Lytechinus pictus: one gene and its partners. The protein of the gene in region 3 interacts with the protein of the main gene of each other region in a biochemical or structural test. Links are inferred from orthologs where the notes say so. Each region holds a gene or a part of one and is shown on either strand. Other genes may lie near its edges.

The links.
Region 1: of the proteins of serine/threonine-protein kinase ATR-like (region 3) and serine-protein kinase ATM-like, one has a biochemical effect on the other in vitro, tested with the Homo sapiens proteins (2 studies listed by BioGRID, with this or other methods). The link is inferred for Lytechinus pictus from reciprocal best matches to the Homo sapiens genes ATR and ATM.
Region 2: of the proteins of serine/threonine-protein kinase ATR-like (region 3) and serine/threonine-protein kinase Chk2-like, one has a biochemical effect on the other in vitro, tested with the Homo sapiens proteins (2 studies listed by BioGRID). The link is inferred for Lytechinus pictus from reciprocal best matches to the Homo sapiens genes ATR and CHEK2.

Annotation. Positions count from the first base shown.
Region 1 is NC_087248.1:3,339,768-3,346,942, forward strand, and holds the start of serine-protein kinase ATM-like, read right to left. Parts: upstream 3,021-7,175; 5' UTR 2,960-3,020; intron 1-2,959.
Region 2 is NC_087246.1:31,249,637-31,256,742, forward strand, and holds the start of serine/threonine-protein kinase Chk2-like, read right to left. Parts: upstream 3,067-7,106; 5' UTR 2,681-3,066; coding exon 2,473-2,680; intron 917-2,472; coding exon 786-916; intron 332-785; coding exon 253-331; intron 1-252. Other genes in the region: DNA-directed RNA polymerase III subunit RPC9-like, read left to right, coding at 6,046-6,053. UniProt on the Homo sapiens protein: Serine/threonine-protein kinase which is required for checkpoint-mediated cell cycle arrest, activation of DNA repair and apoptosis in response to the presence of DNA double-strand breaks.
Region 3 is NW_026974140.1:6,100,173-6,108,021, reverse strand, and holds the start of serine/threonine-protein kinase ATR-like, read right to left. Parts: upstream 3,118-7,849; 5' UTR 3,032-3,117; intron 1,467-3,031; 5' UTR 1,452-1,466; coding exon 1,363-1,451; intron 1-1,362. UniProt on the Homo sapiens protein: Serine/threonine protein kinase which activates checkpoint signaling upon genotoxic stresses such as ionizing radiation (IR), ultraviolet light (UV), or DNA replication stalling, thereby acting as a DNA damage sensor.

The DNA of each region.
Region 1 (7,175 bases), on a different chromosome or scaffold from region 3:
GCCCTTTACTTTAGCTCCTTGACAATGACAGTGAAGGTGCCGGTCCAGAAAAAAGACAGAAATAACGAACTTCTCAAAAAACTGGACTTGCTTGCTTGTCATCATCATTAATTATTTTTATAATGACACTCACACTGTAAAATACCTCTCAAATGTTGCCAAAGTCAAATACATACAATCGAAGTAAGTGCATAATTTGTTTTTTCATTTTTTATTTGGGGTGCTATTACGACCCCATTCTACCCCATTTTGGAGAGTACGCGCTGCCTAATTACACGGACGAGTCCAGGGGCCTGTTGCATGACGAGATGAGCGATACGTAGGAACGTCCTAGGACCATTCTTCCGAGATAGGAAGATTGGCGACAAATCAGCGCTTTCCGTTTCACGAAGGCAATTTTGTCTTCCAAGTCCGCGACATCGTTTGATATCGATAGTATCGGGAAAATATTTAGTCTTCATCGTCACCTGAACCTTTTATTTCTGAATGACGACTTTACATAAAATCCGATATTTCAATAAAAGGAGATCAAATAATGTTTTATTTATTACTGATAGTAGAATTGATGTATGGAGCTTACTTTATGAGGTTAAAAGAGAAAAAACTTTAAAGATTCACAAACATAACTAAATAAAATCGAAATTTTCATTATTTCCCTTATTTAGAACACGGTGTCTTTTTAGAGACACCTTTTATTGATATTTCAACGAAAGAGACCCTTGGGCCTTGTCCGACATAAAAATTGATTTAACTAAGTAATTTCGACATTTATGAGTTCAATATTCTGTATTTTTATAGAATACTTGTATATAATGATAATTTTGCAAATTATGCGTTAATATGTTATTTGTTGAGGTAAATATAGGGTTTGAATGGAGTAAACAAAATCAACAGTGTCTGATTGTATGAGACTAAAAAGGAAAATATGAGAGGCTGCGTGTGAAAAATCTAATTTATTTATTTTATTTGTCAGATATAACGCAAGAAATACAAATGTGAGTATTTAGAGTATAAACATACCTCAGTTGCATGATGAGTAACAGAAGAAAATGAAAATATGAAAATTGCTGCAAACATGTCCAAGTGGATAAAGTAGTACTTTGCAATAATAATTAAAACATAGAAAAAGGTGTGAATCAATCCGCAATGGACAAATACTTTTACAGAAATAATGCTAAATATGACAACGATCATAAACGCTGGTCATATTTAAAGATGATCACTTAATTTATGGAAGGTTTAAGAAATAACATAAAAGATTTAAAATGCGCCTCTTCGTATGGACTTTCCATAATCTTTTCTTTAATGAACTTATCTTCATTTGTAATGATTGTGATGGATTCGTAAGCTATAGGCTTAATCTGTATCTTAAATTCAATATTAGCTGCAGGTTTTTTGTTTTGTTTCACTGTTTCAAATCCAACAATTAATTTTCATTGATTAAAATAAATCTCAGCAAAAAAAAATAATTATAATGAAAATAAAATAAAATAAATAAATGATTTAGCATGTTTAACATCTTAGTTTTGTTTGTCTTGGTTTTTTTTTGCTGAATGTTATTGAACACGTTTTTTACCTTACATAATTTCTTTTAAAGAAATTTGTTGTTTATCTTTAATGAGAAAGCATGACTGGGGTCGGCTAAAGAGATATAGTGCCGCCCATTTCAAGTATTTCAAGTTTATTTTTTTAATAGAAAAGGGGTGGGGATAAGACGGAGGGAGAATAGAAGAAAACATATTATTTTTAAAAATATTTGGCCCTATACATTACCCCCGGGAATAATACATGTATGATGGGGGGACCTAAAGCTACGCACTTTGTTTTCAAACAATAAAAACTACCCCAATTTTAGTATTTCAACAAATATCTTTCACTAATTTGTGGCAAACATTCTAAAGATCATTAACCAAGAAGAAAATATCGCAAAACTCACTAATACGAAAATCCCGCCGAGTTTTCCGAACACCTCTTGATTTCGCCACCCGATGTAGAAGGGGTCCTAAAGCTACGCACTCGATTTATCATGCAAAAAAATAGTATTTCTTGTGCCTCAATTTCTAAAATACATTCATATTATTATAGGATAAAATGAAATTTAAGCGAATATAACTCCAAAATTCCAAACAGTTGTTGGTTTCTCTGCATTTAGAGATTTTACTGCAGTGCAGCCTCTGAAGAAAAAATTGAATAGGAATCGTTCGTCACTCTGCAGTCACAGTTCCACACACAGAGTGCGCATTTGCCCCGCGCCGCCGGGCATTTGCCATAAAAACTGCATGCGCGATGAGTGCTGCGTAGCTTTAGGACCCGCGCAGCTTTAGGACCCCCTACCATACCCCGGCCGGAGAAGTTAAAATGACATCCGTTTTTGGTCGTCCTGCCGTGCAAAAAGACGACCTGAAATTGATGACAACTATAGCCCCCATATAAAACATAACTTGGCACCATCCCAGATAAAATGCATCAGAGTGCAACCAAAAAAAATGTTTAGAGGTGATATGTCAGTGTGGCTTGCCGTAATTTTGGCGTAAATGCATTTTCTCTCAATGCCGACGGTGGCGGGCGGTGTGCAAAGAAGATCATGCCTACGTAGGACATGTCTGGAGGTGTCTTTCCAAGGACCATTCTTCGTATCGCCCAAATCGGCTTTGTGAAACAGTTGAGCGATATCTCGTTCTTACGTAGAATGGTTCTACGAAAGACCCTTTCATGCAACAGGCCCCTGATCTCGGGCTCCGCCCCGCTTCGCGGGCCGGAGCGGCCTGGGTTACCGAGGCAGCCGTAGCCGTGGCCAGACAGAAGCCCAAAACGCCCGGCCAGAACGATGAGAAACAGAGTGGTAATAATAGCGGTAGTGTACTCAAGCTGGAAGATTAGACCATCGTTAATATATATGACTGCAAAAGTTAAATATAACAAAATGTTCTTGCACAATATAAAATTTAACCCCACTTACGAACTTTGACTTTCAGTCAGACTCAGACTTCGACTTTAAATTTCGTCGAACATGCGCAACGAAGGAGAAGTTAACCACACAAATAGAATTGGAAAAAAAAAATGAAAAGTAATAATAATTTTAATAATAAAATTAACCCACTGCGCGGGCGTATTACGCCATTGACATATTCATTATAAAATGAACATACATGTGCTTTATATTAATGCATATGTGAATGTGATCATCTTTATTTTTGTTTCTTGCTTTAATGAAATTATCGATATTAATCATTATTGCCACCCCATGGCTACGGGTGAGGAAAATCATGATTTATCGTGAATAAAAAAAAATTGTATTCATTCCTCTATTGATCATCTATATTTCCATTTTTTCTTCGTACTGAACATTAAAATTTTACATCAAGTTATTCTATAATAATATTTCATCTACCATCATGCCCAATATATTGTCATATATTTTCAAACACCATCTGTGCCAAACATTTGGGCAGGGGCGGGTCCCTCAACCCCCGGCCCAAAAATATTTCAGCGGGGAAATCTACAAGACCACCGAAAGTTAGTGAAGGAAATGAAAAAGAGGAAGCAAAGAAAGAAAGAAAGGAAGGAAGGAAGGAAGGTAGGAAGGTAGGAAGGAAGGAAGGAAGGAAGGAAGGTAGGAAGGAAGGAAGGAAGGAAGGAAGCAAAGAAAGAAAGAAAGAAAGAAAGAAAGAAAGAAAGAAAGAAAGAAAGAAAGAAAGAAAGAAAGAAAGAAAGAAAGAAAGAAAGAAAGAAAGAAAGAAAGAAAGAAAGAAAGAAAGAAAGAAAGAAAGAAAGAAAGAAAGAAAGAAAGAAAGAAAGAAAGAAAGAAAGAAAGAAAGAAAGAAAGAAAGAAAGAAAAAGAGGAAACGGAATGGGAAATTAAAGGGGAGAAGAATGAATAGGAAAATGGAAAGGATAAAAGGGAGAGGAAGACAAAAAGGGAGGAAAGGAAAGAAAAGGAGAGGAAAATAGAAAGAAAGAAGAGGAAAGGAAGTGAAAGAAAAAAAGAAAAGGAAGAGGTATGGAACTCCAATTCCAAATGACACGGGAGAAAAAAAAGCGAAAGAAGAGAGGGGCAAGAAAACGAGAAGGTATAAAATGAGAAAGAAGAGGAAGATAATGAAAAGAGAGAATGTTGTATAAAATAGTTTGATAAAAAACAAAATAATTCCTTTGCTTAATTGTTCTCTCGCTAACCAATCCATTCCACTTCATTATGATATTCATAACAGAAAGATGTTCATCTTAGTCAATATGCGAAGGAGAGTGGATCTCTATTGATACATTTTTTTTTTATTCTCAAAGTTGGCGTTTTATAGCACTTTGTTGTTTGTGCAGGTGGTGATATTTTTGCTTAAAGACAAGTCCACCCCAATAAAAAGGTGACTTGAATAAAAGGAGAAATATCATACAAGCTTATAACATCGATTAAAAAAAAATCAAAATCGGATGTAAGATAAGAATATGACATATTAAAATTTCTCTTAATTTCGCAAAACAATTATATGCACATCATGGTCGGTATGCTAATGAGCAGACCGATGATGTCACCCACTCACTACCTCTTTTGTATTTTATCACATGAAATATAAAAATTCTTATTTTCTCCTCATTGCATGTGAAACAAATCTTATTCCTCCCTGACCATGTGTGATGACAATTATTTCAACAGTTTATGATTAAGTCAGGTTGGTCCTTAATTGTTGACAAATCTGTAAAAATTGAAATATTGTATTTCAAACAATAAAAACAAAAGAAATAGTGAGTGAGGGACATCACCAACTCTCTCATGTGCATATCACTGAGTTGTGCATATAACTATTTTATGAAAAATAAGCGAAACTTAAAAATATAATAACTTTCTTATTTTAGATCCGATTTTGATGAAATTTTAAGCATTATGCTTGTTTAACTTTTCTCTATCATTTCTAATCAACAGTTTTATTGGGTGGACTTGACCTTCAATGGTGTCCTGGGGAAAAGATTTGCCCCCTCTCCCTCAGATTTCCGTTCCAGGCTCATACGTTAATGGATAATTATATTGTCTAGTGCCCTGTTTCATAACATTGGGTCACGGCATGGGGCCTATGGGGGACCTGGTGGGTGTTTCATAAAGCTGTTCGTAAGTTAAGAGCGACTTTAAGAACGATTGGTGATCCTTTCTAGTGGCAAATTGCATATTCATTGGCGATGGTTTAGCACGTAAGAAAGGTTCACCAGTCGTTCTTACGGTCACTCTTAACTTACGAACAGCTTTATGAAACAGCCCCCTGGATTTTTTGGGCACTTAGTGGGCGCGCTGAGCGCGTTCAACAGCCAGCTATATGACCTCATAGAGACGTTTTAAGGACTGTGCAATTAAAATGATTTGTATCTCACTGAGGCGAGCGAAGCGCGAGCTGATTTTTTTTTTATATATTCGGACCTAAGAAAGGGACATTATAATAGCCGATTTATGTAATCATATGTATATCTGTCTCACTAAATAAACAATGTGAGTGCGAAGCGCGAGCTGAAATTTTACATATATTGACCCCAAACAAGGACCTTTTAAGGACTATTCTTTAGAAATGAATGAAGAGCTAGCTTACATAGTCATCTAAAGGTCTGGTCCCACTTGCCGACGGACACAAAACGTATCCATAGGCTAACGGATACAGCGGACAAGCCAATTTCGAGGTGGCTCCATCCGTTTACATCCGCTCCAGACAATGGACAATGAAATCACAGTGGACGGATGCTCGATGGAGAACGTATGAAACAGTGGCGTACCGTGGGTCACGGCATGGGGGGTACCAAAAATGTTTTTAGTCACTTATTGAGTGCGCGAAGCGCGCTCAGTTGTCAGGTATACTGACCTAATAGAGAAATTCTAAAGACAGTGCCATTAAATGGATATATATTTCACTGATCACATAATGCGAGCGCGAAGCGCGAGCTGAAATTTTTTTATATTCAGACCTTTAAAGGGACATTATAAATACATTTTTGTAATCATGATACGTATACCTGTCTCGCTAAACAAACAATGCGAGCGCGAAGTGAGGGCTGAAAGTTTTGTATATATTGACCCCAAAGAGGGACATTTTAAGGACTATATTTTAAGAATCCATTAAGAGTATACATATCTGACCATAGTCATCTAATACGAGTGCCATTTTATCTGATTTTGTTAGAATTTTATACATCTAAACACATGAAGCACTTGTAGGCATTGTAATCATGATTAACATACGCATCTTACTGACCAAATATTGCGAGCGCGAAGGGCGAGCTGAAAATCTAGGAAATTCAGACCTGAAGAGGGACATTTTAAAGGCTTGTTAGTAGGAATTCACGAATACTATGCGTATTTCACTAACCAAATGATAAGAGCGCGAAGTGCGAGCTTAATTTTTTTTTGTATATATTGACCCCAAACAGCGATATTTTAAGGACTATTTTTTAAAGGAATCCATGAAGAGAACACTTATCTCACCATAGTCATCTAATGCGAATGCCAAGCGCATGCTGATTTCTTAGAATTACATCTAAACACATGAGAAACACTTTTTGTAGTCATTGTAATCATGATTATTATACGCATCTCACTTGTCATATATTGCGAGCGTAAAGCGCGAGCTGAAAATTTAGGAAATTCAGACCTGAAGAGGAGCATTTTAAGGCTTGTTTGTAGGAATTCAAGACCATGCGTATTTCACTTACCAAAATATGCAAGCGATAGCTGAAAATTTTTGATATTCAGATCAGAAAAAGGGACATTTTAAGGACTGATTTTAGGAATTCATGAAGAGCAGACATATCTCACTAATCTACTAATGCGAACGCAAACACGGACAGGAAATGTTTTATAGTTAGACCTTAAAATGGGGCAATCACTTTAAGTAGTCATGAAAAAGAAGCATATTTGTCACTACATAAAACAATACAAATATTATTTGGTGTATACTGACTTGAAAACGGGAGGTTTTAGTATAACGGGATTATATATCTCGTTAAACAGACAACGCGAGCATCAGGAACAATGAATACATAAGCCCTGAGCAAATTATGTTTCATAAAGTTAGGATTTTTTTAAATTTTAATGTAAAATAACATAACATAATTATAAGATAATATAACATTATAATGAATAATAATGTCTTCTTTCCCACTACGTTTCTCTCCCTCTTTTCTCCTTTTCCCCGTGTTTTTGC
Region 2 (7,106 bases), on a different chromosome or scaffold from region 3:
TACATGTATTTCAGAGGATTGAACACAGACATTCAAGCTTCTTGTGAAATATCATGAGAAAAAAAATTGCACTGACTTGAAGATAAAGGGGGAAGGGAAATACAAGAGGGAAAAGAATACAAAATATACATGAGATTCTGATTTCACCATTGATCCCTAAACTTTGATAATAAGTCATTGTTTTTGTTATTTCAATGTTGTTATTTTCCCTATAAAGAGATCTACATCAAAGACCTTACTTTAGCTTCTTACCAATCTTTTCTCCATTCACAAAGGTGCCATTTGAGCTCCTATCTTCAATAAAGTAGAAACTGCAATTATCGTTTGATTCCTGGAAAACACAAGAAGAATTATTAATGCAACTTTTGATATCAGGACTGCCATAATGAAAATGTTTTGTTTTACAATTTTAAACTGAAACTTTTTTTTTTCAAATGAACTTTTAACATCCTGTGTGATGGTATCTGAATGACTGAATCTATAATAACAATTGATAGTCAGTTTATTTCATGTTGAATGAAAATACCTTCTAAAAACATTGTGGACATTTAGCTGAGAAGAAATATTTTCATAAATTAATTATGTGTTACTTAGTCCATACTAAAATGGAAGAGCACCATGACATTGAGCATTTACAAGTTTAGTTGATAAATCCCATTCCCATGACATTACCCAATCATAACAATGAAGAATGATTTTTTTTAGGTATAAGCCTACTGCCTACATCTTGTAACTCCAGTAGATGACAGGCATTGAGGGTGGTCACCTACATTGTATTTCCTCACCTTAAATATCCTGAAATGTGTTTTGCTAAGTGTCTGGTAGCAGGGATTTCTGCTTATCTCGGGGCTGTTGTAACAGATGTCACAAGAAGGATCCCTTCCAAAGAGGTATTCTTCCTTTGGATCTAAGAAATCTACAATTTTCATTTAAAAAAGAGAGAATAAAATGAACAAAATGAAATATGGTTGCAGTCTTGCAGATTCAATTTATTGTCCTTTTACTGTACCATGGCCTGGATATTCAGTAAATATTATGTACAAAAGATGAAGGCGCGTTTGATGCTGATAGAAATGATAGCAACTCAACACCTATCACCAATAAATAATAATACACCTCCACCTACAACTCATAAAACTTTTCTTAATCACATCTGTTGTGGATAGCTTAATTACCACTTGAGAGTCATACAGATCATACTATAAAATAGAACTTAAATATGGGGAAGTTCACCCTGGTGAGTTTTTTTTTCAATAAGCAGATAAATATTAGTAAACATGCGACTAAAATCCACAAAGAATAAGAGTTGTGACTTTTTTTTTTGGGGGGGGGGAGGCCATGATGTGGCCAATACAAATTCAATAAATTGCAATTTTCAAGGATTCATGCCTACTGAAAAAAAATATTGAAATTTGTCTAATATACTATAATACTGAATATTCAGTTATAACTATTCTGGTTTCTAATTATTCTATTTATTCTATGAAAGTCTAATCATATCAGAATCATTTGTTGATCATCAACAAAGCGTTTAAAAAGGATTGAAAACCTTGCTTCTTAAAAAAAGCTTCAACTGAAAATACTATTGAATTTCAAATGTTCATTAGCCATTACTTAGAATAAGTAAAAATTGATGTTTTCGATTTGTCCATCAGCACCTAGCACAGTAGATGCATGTGTGAACAATTTGTTAGAGTTAAGCCAACTGTTTCAAATCGAGTTTGGATCAGATCATTCAGATGTGTACAACACAGCGAAAAGCTGAGCCTGAGGTGACTCGGCTCTGCCTATTTCATTCATTTTTCAACAAATATAAAAATCTTTAAAGTATTTAAACTACCACTTCAGGGTGCTACATAACTTTTTAGAAGCACTTTCCCAGTCGGGCAAGTAAATTTTTAAATAGTTGGAATATACTTGCCCAAAAATGTATTTCACTTGCCCCAAAAAATCCTTGAAAAAAAGTTTTACCTCTTCAAATGAAAGCATTGTGGATTTATAAACCATTGAACTTCTAACTGATGTAGACCTTTCCAAAGTGATTTTATCTTACCTGCTACATGTGACCAAAATTAGGGTCGATATCATATAAAAAATGTGGACCCTAATTTTCCACTGTGAGAAATTGGCTTTCCCAGTTTGGGCAAGTAGTTTTGGTCTTAACTTCAAAACACTTGCCCGACTCTAACTTTTACTTGCCCCGGGCAATAGGGCAAGTACAGATTTTTGCTGACACTGTTTGTAAGTGTTTAGAACTTAGTTTAGTGACTGATCTCTTGATTTTATAGCCTAACTTACGATGAAAGTATGGTATTGTATTTGTAGGGGCTAGTGACAATGACCTGCACAACTAGTATTAAATTATTACTAGTACTACATGTATATTGCCTTTATTCATTGGCAATACAAGTAAATTCTAATATTTAGGATTAGAGGGTTTATATTAGTATTAGAACTAGAAGTCAGACCTACCAACACTCTTAAAACATTTTCCAATAGGATACAGACGACCCCAAACAACCACCTTCTCCTCCACAAAATCAAAATCTCCTTCAGCAACCTCCTGCGTTGGAATAGTCTCCATACTCGACAAAGTTCCCCCGGATGACAGACTTGCACTCGCACTGCTCGATGTGGTGTTGGGCTCTACGGAACTCGAGCTCGAGCCGTTCAAGCTCATGTCGCACACACATGCAGTAGTAAACACGGGAACGCCGGGCCGAGTGCGCTACGTAAGTGCTCAGCGGAAACTCGAGGCTAACCTCCGCCACTCTGACCCGGCAGATGTACCGTGACGTAGGTATCCAATCCGGCGGCACGAAATACTGCGGCGCGAGATTCAGGAACACTGCCACTGGACTATTTCCTTGTTGAGTCCATCTTTGAATTAGCTCATTGGGTAAGAAGATGACATCAACAATCCAATAGTTTCTGCAAATTCAATGAACTTCAAAACAACTTCTTTCGTTTGATTTTGAATTCTGCAAGCAAAATCCAAGTAATTGTCAGTTCTTTGGGGTAAAAATCCAAAACACACCGTATCGCAGGCCTAGTTCTAATCAGCTGACAAACCACGTGGCGATCGCGCGTTTGCGGTCAACGACCTTAGGGTATATGTATCCGGATGATATGCGGATCCAGGATTTCGATCAGCTAGGGGATTCCCAATTATTGATCATGATCATTGACCCCGGGGGCCTCATTGACAGGCGGTACGTCCAGAGAAAAGATAAAAGTCATGGCATTTCCCAGAATATCGATTCGATTTTGTCATATCTCTGAGCAGACGCAGATCCAGGGGCACGTGCCCCCTATGCCCACCCCCCCCCCCTTTTTGAGAAGCAAAATTAGAATTTGTAATGTAAAAATGCCCCCTCTTTTGAAATAGAAGACCTTTTTTTTTTTTTTGCTTGTCAAAATTTTTCGGGTTCTAAACATCCTTAATTTGTGGTTGAAAACCTTTATTTTTTTTTTGGGGGGGGGGGGCTTGTCAAAATTTTCCTTCGAAAAATTTGCCCCCCCCCCTTTGGAAAATCCTGGATCCGCCCCTGTCTCTGGATGTTAGAAAAATAAAGGAGCTAAGACAGTGTTCAGAAATATACTGCTTCCCTAAGATTTCAGAAAGGTGGCCCAGGGGCAAGAGAGTTTACGAACTTCGGGGCGCGGCTGCGGGAGACGTTTCCACCCACATTTTTGGTCTGACAACTTTATTTCATTCTGATTGGCGGAGAAGCACATGCAGTTCCTTTCTGTAGGAAAGCATAGGCCTACTTTGTCGTATTCCGATGGTCATTTCATAAACGACAACCCCCCCCCCCCCCCCCCCTCTGCTGTAGCTTTCACCTACAACAAAGACATTGGGAAACATTTTGTATATACAAAAATATATTTAACCTCTGCCTTTTCCTTTTTAATAATATTTTTGTACATTTTTTAACCTCTACGGCCCTGCAATTTTTATCTCTGCCCCAGTCCCCCCCCCCCGTGTTCCCTCTGCTGTACGGATCCACATGCATGCGTCATGAAACCTAACACTAAAACCATGAAGGATATGGAAAAACATGTATAATAAGGCCTTCATGGTAGCCTACACTTATATGCCTATATGTAAAGGTCTATGAGTGTAGGTTCTCAGGGACTTTTTTTTAGAAGGGGCGTTGGGGTGTTGGGGGTCAATGGCATATGAGCCAAACAAATTTGAGGGTCCATAAATGGCATGTGGAGCAAAATAAATTTCTAAAAAAGCAGCAAGTGAGCAAAATTTTAGAACTTTTTTACACAAATATCTAATTTTGTGATGGATTTCGACATAATGCTAAAAAATATTATTATATTCCACCCCCTTTCCTTTTTTTTTTCTTGGCTGTGAAACTTGTGGGGGAGGTTCCATGGTCCCTTAAGCCCCCCCTCCTTACATCAGTTGGGTAGGGTAGTCCTTGAGACTGAAGTCTTATAAGTACAAGCTATATCTTTATTTTCACAAGAAGAATAGGTAATTCATAAGAACTATTTAATCAGTAATACGAGCGTGAAGCACGAGATGAAATTTTTAATAATAATAATATTAGGCATTTATATACGCCATCAATCTAGAAATAATCTATTCCGAGCCGCATTGTTTAATATTATTATTACCCCCACTTTATTTTAGCTCGAGCTGCCTTTCAGCGCTAATTGCATTCAAGAAATTAATCCTATATACCGGATACCCATTCACCTCACCTGGGTTGAGTGCAGCACAATGGGGAAAATTGTTTTGGAAAAATAGAAAACTAAACAAATTTTGATGGAAAATAAGAAAGAAAAACTGATGGTTATCATGCATTTTCATATCACTACCATCATGGGCGGAAATCCCAGAGGAGACAGGGGAAGCCCCCACCCCCCCCCCCCACTTTATGATATGTTTTATGCCGGAAAAATACTTCATTCAAAAACGAAATAATACATGTATCCTTGAATCTTTAATATAATATCATTTTCTGAATATTATGTCAAAATCTATAACAAAATTAGATTTTTGTTATAAAACTATTGAAATTTTTGCTCGCTCGCCTAGCTCTCTTGCAACTTTTATAAATTTTACCCAATATGTGCCATATCTAGCCCCCAAAAAGCACTCCTCTTGAAAAAAAACATATTATGATCATCGATCATCTTCAACTTCCTCCTTATCATCATAATCATACTTGCCATATAATCAGTATGATATTATTCTGTAAATTATCGCGGGATAATACAGACCACCCCTTTTATTATATACATATTTTTATTTGATAGCATTTATTCCATTCATCATAAAAACCAGAACAAAACAAGGTACATGCAAAGTTAACATATATTACAATTTATGTCAATGAAATAATTCAATGATACAAATCTGGAAAACATTTGAAAAAAAGAGTATATATAAATGAATGGGGAGGCAACTAGAAAGGCAAAGCCTTATTAGTGCTGCCACCTTTACAAAACTGGAAACTGAATATGTAATGTAATAAAAATGTTAATACTGAATACCAGATATAAACATTGAGCATAAAAAGGGGGAAATACAAATTTTGACACAATGACAAAATATATAGACATAGATGTATATCAACAATAATTACTATAAAAACGAAAGAAGAAAAAACACCTGAATATACGTTATTAGAATATTTGCTTAGAAGTTGGGTTTTATATCTCCTTTTAAAAACATTAAATGATGGACTAGGTTTAACAGAAAATTGTAATTATTCCAGATAATTGGTTCTTTGCTAAAGAAGTGCTTTTTTTAGTTAGGTGGAAGTCTGAAGATCCTTGCGTATTATAATAATGAACATCTATGACCCAGTAGCCACTGATCTGTATCTAGTCTATATAGTGTAAAGATTAGTGGATCAAACTGGAATTCTATGTAAAACTGAGGCAAATTTTCATGTCGGTCATAACTGAAAGATACCATACCGAAAACTTGAATAACAATGCACAAAAGAAAATGATTGGGACTACATAACAAGCTCGCTGTAGCCTTCCGAAGACGCGACCGAAAGACCGAAGAAGACAATGGAAGTGTAAGTATTTGTTAGGGAATATGATAACAAACATCTCATTTTGTTATGCTGTATGCACGAAAGGTGATTTTTATTCTACTTATTTAGTCAAATTTATTTGGCGTGTTTGGAAAAGCAGAGTCGGACGTCGGTGACGTGCATGTGTGACTGTGGCCATGGTGCCGTGGTTGTGTCTGTGAGTGAGTGTGAGTGAGTGAGTCTCACTTGCACTTGTCTTACCCCTTTCATAAACCCAATCATGCGGCTAATAGCAGCATAATTTGGTTGTAAAATCGGAGGAGGACCAGAGTTATCCGCTTCATTTTGATGCTGCAATTATCCGCATAATAGCGGCATCGGGACCAGATTTTGACTTTATGAACGCATGTCCAAAGTACAATTACATGACATACCGTTGGCGTTATAGATTATACGGATAATTGCCATGCCCATGGCATGATGGTGCGGTCACAACTCACAAGGTCACCCTTTTCCAACACAACTGCATCGGAGGGGGTGTGTGCGGTTGCCATGACGATTATCCCCCTTTTTCAGGACGGGCGCTCGTAAAAATAGTGCGGATTATTTTCGGAGTTTGTGAACGCAATTTTTATTGAATTATCCGCATTACTCTTAGCCTTAGGCTTAGGCGGCTAATTAGAGGATGGGTTTATGAATATGAAAGGGGTATCAGACTCAGATCAGTGAGTCTGACTGATGTGACGTTAACCCGGTCCCGGGGAGCTACGGCCCGCTTCACGGGCCGGAGCCCTGGGGGCCGTTTCATCAAGCTGTTCGGAAGTTAAGAGCGACTTTAAGAATGACTGGTGAACCTTTCTTACGCGCTTAACCATCACCAATGAATATACCATTTTCCACAAGAAAGGATCACCAGTCGTTCTTTTAAAGTCGCTCTTATTGTCTTAACTTAACTTATGAACAGCTTTATGGAACACAGTGACACACCCGGACTCGTCCATGTAATTAGCCAGGAGGCTCTAAGTCCTAGAGGAGTAGAGAGCTAAAATCATTTACTAACGTATGCTTACTCTCCAAGGAGCCAGGGATTCCATC
Region 3 (7,849 bases):
TCAGCATTATTATGGTAAAACAGCAATAATTTTCATTTTTTCTTGGAATGTACTGTACAGCCCATATTTCATATGGGTTGTCCAAGACATTATACTTATGATAGGTTGAGAAATTGATGACTACCATACTTTTCGGAATATAAACCGCAGCCGTGTATTAACCGCACCCCCAAAATCGAGAGACTAAAAAAATAACAAATTTAAAAAATCGGCAAACCAAATTTGATATTACTAAAAAAATAACAAATTTTAAAAATCGGCAAACCAAATTTGATATTATTTTCAAAATAATATCAAATTTGGTTTGCCGATTTTTTAAATTTTTTATTTTTTTATTTTGGGTTAGCCAATTTCAATATAAATCTATGAAAGATCAAAAGATATCTTAATAATTTTTGTATTTTAAAAAATGGTTACTCCATTCTTTAACTTTATTTTTCAAAGAATGTAAATTATTTCTTTGTAGAATAAAGAAAAAAAGACCATGAAATAGCAGTATTGTATATCAAACTTATAGATTAAAAGGGAAAAAGAACAAAAAATGTTGAGAGAAACTGAGGGAAAAAATGAAGAATAGAGGACATTATTTATTGCCTGCTTTCTAACCGATTACGATTACAAGTTTTCATTACAAAACAACCAGGGTTTTTTTAAGGAAAAGGAGACCATAAAATGGCATTTTTTAATATCAAAATTATGGTATAAAAAGGGATATTTTTTAAAATATTGAGAGAAAGAATGAAGGACATTATTTATTGCCTTTTTAAATAACCGATTACGATTACGATCGATTATGATTACATGCCTACTGAAGAGCATTTTCCATGCATTTTTAGCTGAAAAAAAAGTTTTTATCACAAAACAATCAGGTTTTTCTTAGGAAAACATTATCAAATTGATAGTAATTAAATAAATAATATAAAACAACCTTTACAAAGAAGATTTTTCAAAGAAAACTTCGCAAAATATACTCTCCAATCTTAGTAACCAACAAATAATTATACATTAAATATTGTATATAATTCTTGGTTTCTTGCTAACTCTAACTACCGAAGAAACATTTTACTTATGAAATTTTGTTGTTTCTTTGGATAAACCGCACCCAATTTTTCAAGATTAAAAGCGGGAAAAAAGGTGTTGTTTATACACCGGAAAATATGGTAGACTCTGAGATTTTGAGTCCCATTTACCAGTGTTGTCACTACAGGGATGTATTTTCACACAAAGAAAATGTCCTGATATTGATAATGTCTAAAACTTAACTCGTTTTTGTTCCCCTAACTACTTGTGGAAAAACCTCGTGTGACTATTCCTACCATCATTACAATGTGCTTGGTGACATCAATGTTAGCATAAACTTACACTTGCATGCTACCGAGTTGGCTGATTTCTTTCTTCAAATCTTCTAGAACAGGATGAGCCACTCCATCCTGTTGCACAGAACTAGCCATCTTTCTTCACATTATCTGAAACAAGAGGGACAAAGTTTAAAATAATAATTCTTTTTTATCTTAAATACCTGATGATGGAAACCATACATGTACCTGTCAGCGTAGGAAATGCATGAGGGCGATGTGAGATTTTGCCCTCATGACATCCCAAGTTGCCCCTAAAATCCCCCAAATTGAATGCTTTGGGGCACCCAAGGGTTCATTACATGCCGCCACGCACAGAAAAATCAAGCCATAGAAGTCGTGTGTTGTGGACCCATGAAGTGAGATCCCAGCACGCGCGACCCACTAGTTAGAAATCCACTGCCAAACGCGGTTCGTGGTGCGAGGTTAGTATACTAATACTTCTTCTTCACTTCTTCAAGCTACACTGCCTCCTTCAATCCTGAAGATTCTTGCAGTATTGTAGTACCGGGGACCGGCAGGTGCAATACACCGGGTGAACACCCTACTCTTTGACGAATAGTGTATTGGTTTTAACGTGCATAGGTTGTGACTCTCCTATACACGGGACCAACATTTGCGTCCTTTCCGATGGACGGAGTGTTTTCCAACTGCATTCACACCCGCACTGAACACAGCGGTGAGGCACGTTAACACACAACGCTAGCATCAGTTTTTTTTGTTAGACGTCTTCCGGCATGCTGCGGGACTCGAACCCACGCACGTTGAGATCTACGATCTTTTCCGGAACAGGCGCTCTAACCGACTGAGCTACACTGCCTCCCTAACCTCGCAATACGTGTGAGTGGCTTTGGGGCAACCATCCTCAAAGATATCCATCAAAGATATACCACAAACATTCAAGATGGACTTTCAAGAAGTTTAGAACCGATTTTCTACATACAGCAGAGTAATGAGAAATGCTTTCACAGCATAACTACTAATACTTGTTGCACAAAAATGTAACTCTTAAAATGAAAGAAAATGCTCCTTTAGGCTTTAACTTAAGTTTAAATTAGCAATCCCCACAATGTTGGGAAAGAAATTATATTATTGTATTTCCTACCCTGATAACTGTGATCCCCAACTCTTCAATAAGCCTAGTTTATAACGTTAGACATGTTAGATAGAGGTCTAGGACTAGGAGTAGGAAAAGGAAAAAGAATATCAAGATGTCTGTATTTTGACTTTTTTCTTTTGTTTTGTCAGTGTTTGTAAAATTGTAGGACTATTAGTAACCAGTTTACTTTTTTCGTTTTTAGAAATGTCCGTGCTGTATGACCTGTAGATCTATTTGTATAAATTGATTCATAACAAGAGCAAGTAGGCATTCACATCATTGACTTGCTGGTCAAATTTGTTGAAAAATATAAGTACAGCTATGCGGCGGCATGTAAATCTAACCTTGACTGAGTGGGCCGTGCCCGTGGGCGCTCTCTCTCTCTCTCTCTCTGTTGTGTTAAACTGGACATGAATTTGACAAGATGGGACTACCAAAAAAGGCACCGCAAAACTAGGATAAGATTATTAGATTTTCCAATCTCCGTGTCACCTATTCTTCTAAATTCTATCTACTTATCTATCATTTTCTCTTTTATCATCAATTCAAAGCGATTTGTAAAACTTCGTATTCTTACACTTTTTCTCTCTGAAAATCCCAAACTTCTTCTTGCATTTTTACCGCTCTTTACGTTGAATCTTGCGACAATACAGTGTCGCCGAATTAAAACGTCCAAAAGTAAAAATTAAAAAAAAATGTAACTCGAGACCGGTCGGGGGCGCGCAGATCCAAGATTTTCCCAAAAGGTTGGGGGCACATTTTCCCTAAGGAAAATTTGACCAATAAAAAGTTTTCTAAAAAAATGAAGACCGATTTGTCCCGCGTATAATTTGACAGCAAAATAAAATAAATAAAAAAATAAATAGGTTTTAATATTCCAATTAAAAAAATGACAAATTCCCAATAAAAATATTCGGATGTGGCTCTAAAAGCGGGGGAGGGGGACGCACTTGTGTATAAAATACATATTTACTATAAAAATTATGACTATAACTCTCAAGGGGGGCACCACAGGGGGCACGCGGGCCGGAAATGCCCCCCCCCCCCCCGCCCCGATCCATCAATGTCTACGAACTTTGGACATTTCTAAAATAAGCTGAAAAAAAGTTATAGTGCACAATTTGGCTTGATAATGAATTCTAAAGGAATTTTTAATAACAATCAATATTCTTTTTAAAGAACCAAATTTTATGTTCCCTGCTAGTCTCAAGAAAAATATGAATTCCAATATCACATTGCAAGAATATAAATTCCTGAAAAATTTCACTAAAAAATGTTTACACTTTTGAGTTAATCTGAAAACGATTTTCAAAACAAAAAATATCCAGCTTCATATAGAAAAGGTTTCATGCGAGACTATAGTTTTCTGGATCATAGTTTTAATTTTTGAGACCTAATGAACCTAAGATCCCCCACCCGCCCTTCTTTTTAGCTAGTTTCAGGGGCCGCGGAATAATAATGATAATAATACACAACATTTTGGCGCCTACTACTGGTGTTTCTAAGTGCATTGTGTTCTGTTTGTGGTTTGTACTTGGGTATAAAAAAAAAATGTGGCAGGGGAAAATGACACAGCTAATACAACTATACTAATAATCAAAAATCAAAACTGGTGTGCACCTCCAATTGACCGACCCACAACTGTGAATCATTTATTAAACAGGTAGGTTTTGAGTAGGGTTTTAAACTGATTCACAGATTTGGCATTAAAAAAATTGGAGCTTATTCCAAAGGGAAGGGGCAATTGAAGAAAAAGCGCGGTCACCATACTTTGTAGAGGTTCGTGGTCCAGGAGTTAACTGCATTGTAGACGATGAACGGAGAGGTCTTGAGGAGGTACTAGAGCGTATAAGGAAATGAGATCTGTAAGATATTTTGGGGATTGGCCATTGAGAGTTTTGTAGGTGAGAAGGAGAACTTTGAATAGAACGCAGGGAACGCAGAAACGGGGGGGGGGGGGGGGGGGGGCTGGATGGCTTCAACCCCCACTTAAAAAAAAAAAACGTGTACAATAACGTAAAAATTACCACACAATTGTATTTTTTGCATCATCAGCCCCCCCCCCCCCCCACTTTGAAAACCGTTCCGCGGCCCCTGAGTTTAAATGGTCGCTGGGGCATGCTTGGGGTATGAGCAAGCTTTATGAAGTTTCCTATTTTTCAAAAGATTAGATGCTTTCATTTAATTGGTATACAATTTTTTATATTTAAGTCGGTTTTACAGATTTCGTAAACGATTTAATTAATTGATGTCTAACTGCTGTTGCCTCATTGACTTTTGTAAATGGGTGTAATTAGATTAATTTTTCAAATTTCATTTCCTGTCAAAATGAATATAAAAATGGAAAAGAAAGTATGGCCTTTGTTTTGCAACTACTTTAAAATAGTGATCAGTCATGCATGAATGATTATGAATATGCAACAATGTATATTTTTAGACTTTGCTGTGATTATTAAAGCATAGCACGCAACACTTCATTGATCATGGTATATTTCCTTTTCCTTTTTTCCTCCGAGAGATGAGATGATATGCTTTCATTTGATCCCATTTGATATACAGTTCTTAATATTCCAGTCGATATTTCAGATTTCATAAACGATATAAAACGAATTGATCCCTGTCTGCTGTTGTCCCATTGACTTTTGTACAGGGGTGTAATCAGATTCATTTTTAATATTTCATTTCCTGTCAAAATTAATAAAACGGGTGAAAAGGATTTGAATTTCATATGAAATGAAAGCATGTCATCTCATCTCTCAGAAAAAATAAGAAATAGGTCATGATCATTGAAGCATTGTGAGTTACGCTTCAATGTTCACAAATAGGTATAAAAATATGCATTATCACACTTTATGAATTATAATCATTAATCAAAAATTTGCAACTCGATGGAAAACAGAGACTATACTTTTCTTTCATATGATATATACATACATTATAGTTTATAAGCGCCAGGTTACAATGTTTGACTTTCATCATAAGCATCCACTCATTTTTCAGTGTTGTTTATGTACAGTGTACAAATGTATTATATTCAGTAAATACAAATGTCTTGTATACACTCTATATTTATGTGGATTAACGTATTCTGACTTTGAAACAGAGGGTCGTGCGTTTGAATCCCAGCCATGGCGTAATTTCCTTTGGCAAGTAATTTATCCACATTGTGCTACACTCAACCGAGGTGATGTAAATGGGTACGTACCTTGCAAAAATTTATTCCTTGAAATGCCATCGCGCTGTAAAAGGCTGCGGGGCTAAAACCAAGGTAATAATATCCTGGCGTACACAGTAAAAAAAAATTGCACAACGCTGTTTACTATATGAAGCTTACAGTAATTGTTTAAACAGTTTAAACAAGTGTTTAAATCTTAAGCAACAAAGTTTAATTTTCAATATCTAATCTTCAATAAATTAAACATGATTGTTTAAACGGTTTATACTTTTTGCTGACGACTCCAATATTTTCTTTTCCCATGATGATATTAACCAACTCGTTAGAATCGTAAATTTTGAACTAACAAATGTTACAGATTGGATCAAGGCCAACAAACTTTCACTTAATCACCAGAAGACAAACTGCATGCTTTTCAGTAATAAAATCAATAAAAATCAATACTCTACCAGACAGTATTTTCTTTGATATCGTTCTTAATAATATTTCCACTACCAGATTCTTGGGTGTCCTTATTGACAACAAATTATCATGGAAGCCTCATATTGATAGTATATAGGTAAAACAATTTCTAGAAACATTGGAATTATTGATAAACTCAAACATGTTCTCCCTTCCCGCACTTAACATTATACTACACCCTTATTCTACCATATATTAATTATGGAATAATTGCCTGGGGATGTGCAATACAAACACAACTAAATAGAATATTACTTCTCCAGAAAAAAGCTCTAAGAATAATTTTTCAAACACACTTTAAATCACATACTGATATCTTATTTTTTGAAAATAACATTCTCAAAGTAAGTGACATATATATTTTCGAACTTAGTCAATTTATGTTCAAATGAAACAAGGACGATCTCCCCGCGATTTTCTCTATGTTCCGTGAAAATGCATCCGTACACTGCTACCCAACAAGGCAACGACAATATTATCACTTTCCTTTAGCAAAGAATTCATTTGTCTTCTCCCCTTCTCCGGGCCTGCCTAATTGGAACTCTCTGCCGCAAGATTTCAAAGAATCCCCTAATGTAAATATTTTTAAATGCAAACTGAAAAAAAAGTTAATTCTGGAATACTCGTTGCAAACAGGTCAAGCTGAATAACTATTTCAATTATACTCGGCTTTTGTGTATTATATGCGCTCATATAGACATGTATATTATTTGTTTTATTTTTTTTCTTCTTAAAATTGCAATTAGTGAAAGTACCTGCTCCTGCTGCCTGCCTTCTTTCTTTCTACTTAGTGTACACTGCACTCCTCTGTCTTTCCTGTCTTCTCCCCCTCATCCCCCCTCTCTAGTATTGTAAAACAATATATTTTCTCACACGATCCATCAGTTGCGTTTATGTAAAGTGCACAAAAATTGTATTTATTTTTAAAGAAAATTTCTGTATATTATTACGACCCAATATTTCTTTATTGTAATTTTGTAATGAAACTAAGTTAGGGGCTTGCCTTTTGTACTAGCTTTGCTTTTTTTGGCAAGACCCTCCGTTTTACTTTTAAACACAAATGTCATCTGAGATAACTTTATTTACTGAATTGTGTTCCTTTAATCTATGATTATGTTATTATATTGTCTTGTAGTATTTTCGACCTTGTTATGTTTATCATATTATGTACAATTGTGAAATGGAAATCAATAAATCAAATCAAATAAATAAAAACGAAACAGGAAGCAGGTTGTCGAAGCAGGTGAAACAGGAATTGTTTACCCCATCCCTTTTCTTTTCCTTCCCTTTCCTATCCCCCCTCTCTCCAGCTCCCATTCTTTCTCTACCCTCTCTCCCTTTGTCTCTCCCACTCTCCCTGACCCCAACTGCATTTGTTTGATGAGGCGCTGTCTAAGGGAAATTCAATTAATATCAATATTAATAAGTCCACAACCCAAGGTTTGCTAAATGTATTCAGTGGTTTAAATTGAAATTCTTGAAAATCATTTGTTTAATCTTCTATATACATGTATCAAGGCCAAATAAGAAAATAGAAAACATCTATTTTCATGCTCAAACAAAACTTCTTTTTAAAAGTAAAAGAAACTAATTGCAGCAAAAACTATTTCAAGAGAAAGCCTTTAAAATAAAAGGTTACTATTACTAACCCCCATATTATCATAGATCTAGTATAATGAAATCAACTCGTCTTTGTGAAACCATGAAATCTTAGCTGAAAACCGATAATTCTGCTTGATAACACACACAAAAAGGCAT